Daphnia pulex: one gene and its partner. The protein of the gene in region 1 purifies or fractionates together with the protein of each later gene. This does not show direct contact. Links are inferred from orthologs where the notes say so. Each region holds a gene or a part of one and is shown in the gene's direction. Other genes may lie near its edges.

What was found.
Region 2: the proteins of UBX domain-containing protein 6-like (region 1) and nuclear protein localization protein 4 homolog purify together in Homo sapiens (affinity purification with western blotting; 3 studies listed by BioGRID and IntAct, with this or other methods). This does not show direct contact. The link is inferred for Daphnia pulex from reciprocal best matches to the Homo sapiens genes UBXN6 and NPLOC4.

Annotation. Positions count from the first base shown.
Region 1 is NC_060023.1:5,743,430-5,747,430, forward strand, and holds UBX domain-containing protein 6-like, read left to right. Parts: upstream 1-1,254; 5' UTR 1,255-1,687; coding exon 1,688-1,748; intron 1,749-1,810; coding exon 1,811-2,134; intron 2,135-2,187; coding exon 2,188-2,318; intron 2,319-2,390; coding exon 2,391-2,639; intron 2,640-2,697; coding exon 2,698-3,231; 3' UTR 3,232-3,476; downstream 3,477-4,001. Other genes in the region: aurora kinase A-like, read right to left, coding at 1-9, 101-210; synaptojanin-1-like, read right to left, coding at 3,797-4,001. UniProt on the Homo sapiens protein: May negatively regulate the ATPase activity of VCP, an ATP-driven segregase that associates with different cofactors to control a wide variety of cellular processes.
Region 2 is NC_060023.1:4,661,818-4,666,270, forward strand, and holds the end of nuclear protein localization protein 4 homolog, read left to right. Parts: exon of another isoform or gene 1-530; coding exon of another isoform or gene 531-2,106; intron 2,107-2,302; exon of another isoform or gene 2,303-2,408; coding exon of another isoform or gene 2,409-2,596; exon of another isoform or gene 2,597-2,611; intron 2,612-3,287; coding exon 3,288-3,436; intron 3,437-3,495; coding exon 3,496-3,631; intron 3,632-3,695; coding exon 3,696-3,947; 3' UTR 3,948-4,041; downstream 4,042-4,453. Other genes in the region: uncharacterized protein LOC124198209, read right to left, coding at 531-2,106, 2,409-2,596; rRNA methyltransferase 2, mitochondrial-like, read right to left, coding at 4,092-4,352, 4,424-4,453. UniProt on the Homo sapiens protein: The ternary complex containing UFD1, VCP and NPLOC4 binds ubiquitinated proteins and is necessary for the export of misfolded proteins from the ER to the cytoplasm, where they are degraded by the proteasome.

The DNA of each region.
Region 1 (4,001 bases):
AATGTCCACCTGTGTTTATCAAAGATTGGAGAATACACCAATGTGCAACTGTTAAGATCCACATCTTAATGGTCTAACAAGAGAAGAATGACAAGCATACTTAGGTTTTGATCTTTCATTTTCAAGCTTAACATCCGGTTTTGCTAAGGGAGCAGTGGTCATAGGTTTAGTCACGTTTTGCAAGTCCCTCAACGGTTGCTTGGTCTCCATTTATAACGTGAACTATTACATCAAAATACCCAACAATTTCTTAAATATTTGGAAAGCCAGTACTAATCATTAGATAATAAAAGTTATACTTATTTGCAGCGAAGTATTCGAGTAAGGTCTCTTTGTAACTAAAGTCAACTAGAAGTCTGGAACTAACGTTACTTCTTTAAAAGTCGGAGAAGATTTGTCTACCCTGTCTGGTTTGAAATTTGAACATTGACGCTAGGGGGCCGATGGGGTTTTAAACGGTAAACCCATCCTCTTGAAGTCTGATTGGTCAAGGACTCAAGGTCGCAGAGAACGATCAATATCAATTAAATTTAAAACATTTTAAAATAATATTTTAACTAATTGTTTTAACATTCCTAAAAATTTTATTAAAGTAAAAGATTAAATAAAATCGATGGGTTATATTTGTTTTATCATTGAAAAGTTGGCAACATCATAATGAGGGGGCTGGGGAACTGAGTTTTTAGGTAACCTTGATAAAATTGCGTGGTAGCATACCTTTTTTTATTAACCCTACCTGAAAACTGAAAACTTATGCAATATATTATGACCCAAGGGCACGACGTAGTAACTGTAATTCTAAAATGAAATTCACGTAGCCCCGTATGGCCCATCAAGGGTTTTGTCATAAAAGAAAACGTCTGTCATATTGTATCACGTAATTTGTCATGCAAATATTGAGAACATATTGCCGTTATTGGATTATAGTTGCCAACAGCAATTTCCTGTCAAAAATGAAATATGTGTTACGATGCGGACACAAGATTATTAGCCTGGTCTGGCCTGGGTTGTAGTGGAAATTGATCGTATAAAACACGCAACTGCTAAACAGCAGTTGGTTCCTGGTTCGTTCTTTCATATTTTGTAAACAAAAGGCTATCATTAGAGTACATGTCATTTCATGATACTAGAATCGATCGAGGATTCAATTCTAAATTTCGTAGCATGGTAAACAACTTAATAATTAAAATTAAATGCATTATTTTACCTAGTGACCAAGCTAGAATGTATAATTATTTGCATAATACCTATATTATAGGTGGATGAAGAAACTTTGGTTGAACAGCAATCTACTTTGTGGGTCGAGGTTTTCGTCGAATATTCCGTTAACTTAATTTATCTTCTAATCAGTTTTGTCATTGACTTTGTTGAAGTGTTACCAGGGCACTGTGAAAGTTTATTTAAATCTATTCTCTTAAAGTTGATTGATTTCTCAGAAATATTAGTGAACTTTTATGATTCAGCTTTTTCTGATTTCCAAATTAAATTATTACAAGTTTTCTTTTGCATACTGACTGTCCATGTATTAGCTATTTGTGTTGCGTGGAAAATTTACAGCGAAAGAATAACACAGAGATTTCTGAAGCCAAGTCAATACGAAATTTCAAGTGAACAGCTGAAGACTGCAGTTTCTGAGTTAAAGCTACCAAGTGAGCATACACCACGGTGGTAAGGCGTAGGATTCAAAATGGATAAAATTAAAAAGTTTTTTGAAAAGAAGAAAGCTGATACAAAATTTAAATTGGCTGGTAATAACATAATAATTAATATGGGTTTGTTAAAAGAGTAATGAAAACTTGTAATTTTTTAGGAGAAGGACATAAACTTAATGAAACTGTTCAACAACCAAAACTAAGCAAAAATTTGGCTCCTACTCAAGCTCGTTCTGAAGCTTCAACTAGTGCAGCACAACAACAAGCTGCAGCTGCTGCATTAGCCAGATTTGAAAAGAAAAAAGACCCTACTCCCCAACAGCGATCAGCTGCAATAATAAGAGCCCAGGCATTAAAGGAATTGGAGCTAGAGAAACAGGATACTTCAATTCAAAAGTTAACTCTGTCTGAGAAAACCCAACAACTTCCATCCTCAAATGAACTTGCTGTTAGTGGAGTTTACTACAAGTGCCCACTGATAGGTAGTATGTGTATCCTCTGTGATAGTAAATTAAATTAATGCAATTATTTGTAGGACCTGAAGTACTGCCTAAAAAAGAAATTGAAAAATTGATTAAGGAGTTTCTTTATCAGCAATTAGAAGATGAGGAAGCAGGACTTACTGCTTGTCTAGTTATACACACATTAAATAAGCCTCAAGAAAAGGTTATTTTTTATCATTTTCAAATAAAGAAATCTATTTCACATTTTTTCTCTCTCGATTAATCGACGATATAGGTTCAGCAATGTGTTGAAACATTGTTTCGCTATTTGGATAACATAGTACAGAACCCAGCTGAGGAAAAGTATCATAAAATTCGTATAAATAACAAAGTGTACCAAGAACGAGTAGGTCGGCTGGAAGGAGTACAACAATTTTTGCAAGCAGCTGGTTTCCAGTTAAAGTCTATACAAAATGCTCAGCAGGAGCCGGAGGACTTCTGGGTTTTATTAAACACACAACCAGAACACATCGAATATATTAGTGTAAAAATTTCATTTTATTCCTGAATACGGTTCAACTATAGATTGCCTATTATTGCAGAATTTACGTGATGGCTTGATAAGCGCGGAAGCGATTCGGCCAGATTTGGATAGAGGAATACAAATTTTGATGCCATCGCAAGCTGCCCAACGGGTGGAATTGCCTTCGGACTTTTTTTGGCTTACAACCGAAGAAATCAAACGAGAACAACAATTGAAAACCGAGGCGGCTGAGAAAGGCTTGATGCTTCGTACTCGGGCTATGAGGGAACGAGATGAGAAGGCTGCATCACGAAAATACCGATTTACCCTGATCCGCATAAAGTTTCCGGATGGTCCCGTGCTCCAAGGAACGTTCAAAGTCAATGAGACTATGCAAGACGTTCGCTTGTTTGTTTGCGATGCACTCGAAGAACCCTTCATAGAGTTCAATTTAGTATCTCCGGCTGGTGTGGTTAACCAACCGGACATTCAAGATTCAACTCTACTTGATCTTCAACTCTGTCCATCAGCAATTTTTCATTTCACTCCAGCCGTTGCATCCTCTTCTGGTTACTTGAAAGACGAGTTAATGATCCTTATGCAATCCATGTGATTGCTTATTATTATTCACTACATCCATGAAATATTTGAACCCTTTTCCAGATAAAATTCTGCATTAGTCACATATTGTTTTCATTTGGTTGTTCTTTTTTTTGGCATTTTTATTTTGCGAAGTGATAAACAAAAATTCCTTTAGGTGTTAAACAGCGACAACGGATGTATTCTGTTTTGTTGGTATTAATGAAGTCCGTTGAGAAGTATGACTAGTTCCGATACACAATGGATCATTCGACACAACCTGAATCAACGCGTACCTTCAATTAGTCTAAAATACAGTATATAAGTTTACGGTGACTGGGGTATAAGTTTCTGCTGGTAGATATGAATTATTGTGGAATAAGCCTGAAACAATTTTTTTTTCTAAATCAGTGCTGTAGAGTATTTGTTGATCACTTCTAGAAGCAGACATTTAAAGAAACACGCAACACATTTAAATTAAGTAAAATTTTTGCCATGAAAGAAAAACAAACAAACTTCCGGTTGATACTTTTGAAGAGTTTGCAGGAATGAATACTGTTAATCTTCACTGGAGTCGCAGGCAGTCAACCACTTACTTGTTATTTTGCCGTGCGGGGAGGGACAGGTGGAAGATTCCTGGCTGGGATGGGTGGAGGAGCCCTCACTACGTTAAACGACTGTGGGGGTTGAGAAGCCGTTGAAATTCCGTTGGAGGGCTGAGCTTCTCGTACTGGTACGACAGTAGGAGCTGACGGAACAGCTGAAGCTTGAACTGTAGAACGGGCGGGAACAGGAGGGAGAGGG
Region 2 (4,453 bases), about 1.1 Mb from region 1:
AAGACTAAATGAAATATTTTTTTTTTCAACGTTTACGCCAAAAACACAAAACGTAGGCACCATAACACAACGGTGGAGGGGGGCGGGAGCTAAAGTTTGGTAGAGGAGGAAAAAAAAAAGTGGGACAATTTTTCAAATGCTTGATCCGAACTTCACGAATGGGGGCGACGAAATGTAGCGGAAATAGAAAGAGGGTAATAATAACTAAATCGACGACAGAAAAAAAAGAAGTACGACAAAGAAATAACAACAATTCTTGCTATTTACCAAACAACATGTGGCAGTATTGAAACTGGGCGATGCAATAATTTGTATCGGTCGTCAAAAGAAAAGGGTCAGATGTAGAGCCAAGTTGTTACATTTCACTACGTGAAAAAAAAACTCGTTGCTTTCGAAGGGTTAGGAGAAAAATATTAGGTTCTTTCGGGTGCATCCCGATGCCTCTTGCATTTTTTTCTTTTTTGTTGTTGTTGTTGTTTTTTTTTGAGAAGAAAAGCAGCAAACACAGAAAAGTCGCGAAACGTTGTCTTCTAACTGAGCAATCCACAATTGGCCACGGTGATGAGTTTGCGAGGGAAGCCTTGATGATCGCCCAGAAAAGAAACGCGTTCCACCAATTCCAATCCGTGGATGACGTGGCCAAAGACACCAGTGAAGAAGGGCATGTCTCGAAGTAGAATACGGAATTGGGATCCCACTAGCCCTTGGCTGTGATGCTTTTTTTGCGTTCGTCTCATGCCGATCGCCGCTCGAATGCAGGGCAGCTTGCTGTCGTCGGGCATGAAGAAGGGTTCTTCCGCGTAGATGGATCGTCCCCCACGCCCGGAATTGCATTCAAAGTCACCGGCGATGCACGACTCTCCTCCCCAACATTGGAAAACTTGACATCCCTTGTAGCCAAATCCTTTCTCACCCATGCAAAGCGATGCGAAATTCTTGGCCATCTTGGGCGCCACATCTGGTCGGGTTTCCAATACTACGCGGCCTTCAACGATTCCGTCGACTTCCAAATCTAGGAAAAAACGAGGGAAAGACGAGTGCAGAGGAGAACTAGGGGAGAGGACGCTGGCCATCGAGTTGCTCTTGTTGGGGGAAGTCGAAGTCAGTAGAGAGCTGGCCAAAAGTTGTTTCGTGTACAGCCGAGCGTTGCAGACGTTGGCCAAAAGGGCCACAGGATCGGGTTGGGTGGGTGGAGACTGCAGCAGTTCCATAGTAGACGGACCACGATTGCCAGAGTATCGTAAGTTTTGAACCGCCTGACGGAACGTATGCAAGTCCAGTACTTGGTTGCTGGAACCAATGACACGATTCAAAGTCAGCTGCATGGCCAGTTGTTGTTGCTTGGTCTGAAGGCGAATCCGTTCCGATTGTAGAGATCTGAGCATTTCAGCTGCCTCGTCGGGGCCTGAAAGTCCAGCTAGTTGAAAAGTAACTTTGTTTAGCAGAAACTGGGTAGTGTCTTCTTCGTTCAAGCCATTGGACACAGCAGAACTGCTCTGTTTGTTGAGACTGCTCAGTTCTTCTCGCATGAGGTTTTCCAAGCTAGTGCAGGCTTCCATCACTAAACAGAGAAATTCTCTGTGGCTCCCAGTCAAAAGTTTGTTGTCGCTGTGAATCTTCTTAACCGCTTGAACTTCCACTTGGAGCTGAGACAGGAGGAGGCTTTGAGCTTCATTCAAAGGCCCGGTCCTGTGTCCTGTCAGCATCGAGTGTTGCTGACTGGTACAGATCAGACATGCAGGAGTCATGCATGTGTAGCACCAGTAGAGGCAGGCGGAGTGATGCAAGGGGCATTCTGATGCATCACCAATAGATTTTGGTAGAAAGACTTCTGGTGATGAGTGCAGAGAAGAGTTGACGGGGCTAGCCATTGAGGTGGGTATAGACTGGTAGTTCCCCAGCTGTACCATTGAAAAATTAGTAGCCATCTCATTTAAATCCAGGATCAAATCATCTTTGTATTGGAGATTGTGGATGCAGTTTAAGCAGATCTTTTCTGCGCTTGTCCAGTCGAATTCCAGTACGTTGTTGCACGTCGGGCATGCATCATTGAGAGGCGTGGTCAAATCTGCCTGAGTCTCCATTTCTCTACAAGAGATTTTGTATCTAAAACAATACAAAAGAAAGCACTTGAATTAGTAAACGTGAGCAGTGAGAAGATTGGTTAGTGCAGCGTGGCGCATGGAGGCATATCGGTTGGAAGGAAAATGGCAGCAACACGCAACAGCGGGACAACCGCGTGATACGTCTGCTGCCGAATTCCTGTCAATAATTCCAGTCTCTAAGAATAGCAAGTGTATACTTTTTGATCAAAATATTTTCTCGGCTTAACACCCGTCTGTTATGAATCGTTAGATATTTTCTAGCTTAAAGGGAAATTAGGAAAAAACGATAGAATTTGTGCCTACTTTTGCACGTGCGTCACGTGGCTTATCAAGCCGGCTCGTGTGGAGAACTGTGGGGAAGGGCGATCCGAGCCAGTTTCTCTCCACTCCACTAAAAGAGCCACAACGTGGTGTACGTTCATGAGCACTCTACCGGCCACGATGTCGGTCCCGCAGTCGCATGCGCCCCTACCGGCAGCACGCTCAAACATATTTCTTATTGATAATATTATATTTTTAACGATATTATCATTATATTAACTATATATTCTTTTATCTGCTACTTGAGTAATCTTCTTTTGTTATGAAGTTAACCAATAACATTTGTGTTTTTATTAAAATCTTCTTTAAAATATTCGACATACGTGGAACTGTAGTGCTGCAAACTTGAAAGCAAACGTCGCTCATTTGTAAGACAGTTTGATGAAAACTTATTGGGGGTAGGACTGGAAAAATATGCTTTGACTTCTCGAGTAATTGTCTGGGTTGTGATCAGTTTATTTTAAATCATATTAGCCAAATTGTTGTAAAATCCTTCACGAAATGAGTGCCCTTAGTGGGCAGGCCTTGTTTTTAGTCTGCCTTGGCTTACTGGCTTCGCTGTGATTGGTTTAGACCATATTTCCGTATGGACAGCGTGGCAAATGCGCTGTCGCCGTTTCAACAATTCAGTTTTCGTTCATTTCTCCAACACGCGGGATTTGCGATGCGTGTAAAAAAAAAAGATCAATATTTAAAAATAAATCGAAGTAAAATTATATCATGTTGCAATTTGAAAAAATGGATCTCACAATTTATGAACATTTAGCAATCTGTTTAAGTAAATTATAATTAAAATTTGTTTCCATTAATTCGGATTTTTATTTTAATGTCTGAAATGATTTTGAATTTTTTTAATAACAGGAAAAGGATTCATATGGAAATGAAGTGACTCGAGATGCTCGTCCCCTTCCAGTTGAATATTTGTTGGTCGATGTTCCCGTCTCTACTCCGTTGGAACCCATATTTACTTTTTCAGTCGGCTCACGTAAACCGTTTCCCATTGAAAATCGGTATTAACATTTATTAAAACTATATTGTTCTTCAATTCAAAACTTTTAAAATTTTCTAGTCTTATCGATGGTCATCTTCAAGATTTGTCAGCTTTGGATTCTTACTTGAAACAAAATCGTCAGAATTTTCTCGAAGCCGCGTCAGATTTCCATTTTCTGATATACGTCGCTACAATGGATATGCTTCCGCTCATGGCAAGTTTTTTGTATTGCTATTATTTTGATTTTGTTTTACTTATTCATTTTACAAAACCAACAGGAAAGTATGGATCCAATATTAGAAGCTGTTCGTTCGAAAAATGCGGAGGCTGCAAATCAATGGGCATCTGGTGAACAATGGAGCACTGTCCGTCAGCTCCTGGCTCACGCTGATCAAATGTCGACACCAGGGCAACCGATGGAAGAAGGTGCTACCGGAGATGCCGCTGGCAAATCCTGGACCTGTCTTCACTGCACTTTCATCAATATGCCTAATTTATCTTCGTGTGAGATTTGCAATTTGCCACACTAAATTTAAAAATTGTCACCGGCCAATCAAACTGTTAAAAGTGTGCTTAGAGTCAGTGATGTAACTAAGGTGAATTGAATACATGGATGAAGCAAAATTTCAGTAGACTTCAATGTGAATAAAGCAAAGTAAGTAGTTAAATAATTACTATGTATTTTTCTTGAAATTACTAGCTAGTATAAACATTTCAGCTGAATCCTGTCTACTACTAGGTGGTTTCACAACTTTGACTTGAGAATAGTGTAATGCAATCTCATTCTCCAGTTGTTTGATTCTTCCTCCTGCCCATAATTTTATCAATAGCGTAGCTCCGTCCATAGAGATTTGTTGCGCGTAACGCAGCACTGAATATGCTAATTCTAATATCCTATCTTGATCCAAATCTCGTATACCCGATGCTGCAGGAGCCTAAATTTAATTAGCAAATATTAATTGAAATAATTTAAGGTAAAAAAAAACTGAAATAAAATCAGCCCTACCATATCACTTAGGACTGCATTAGCAAGTTG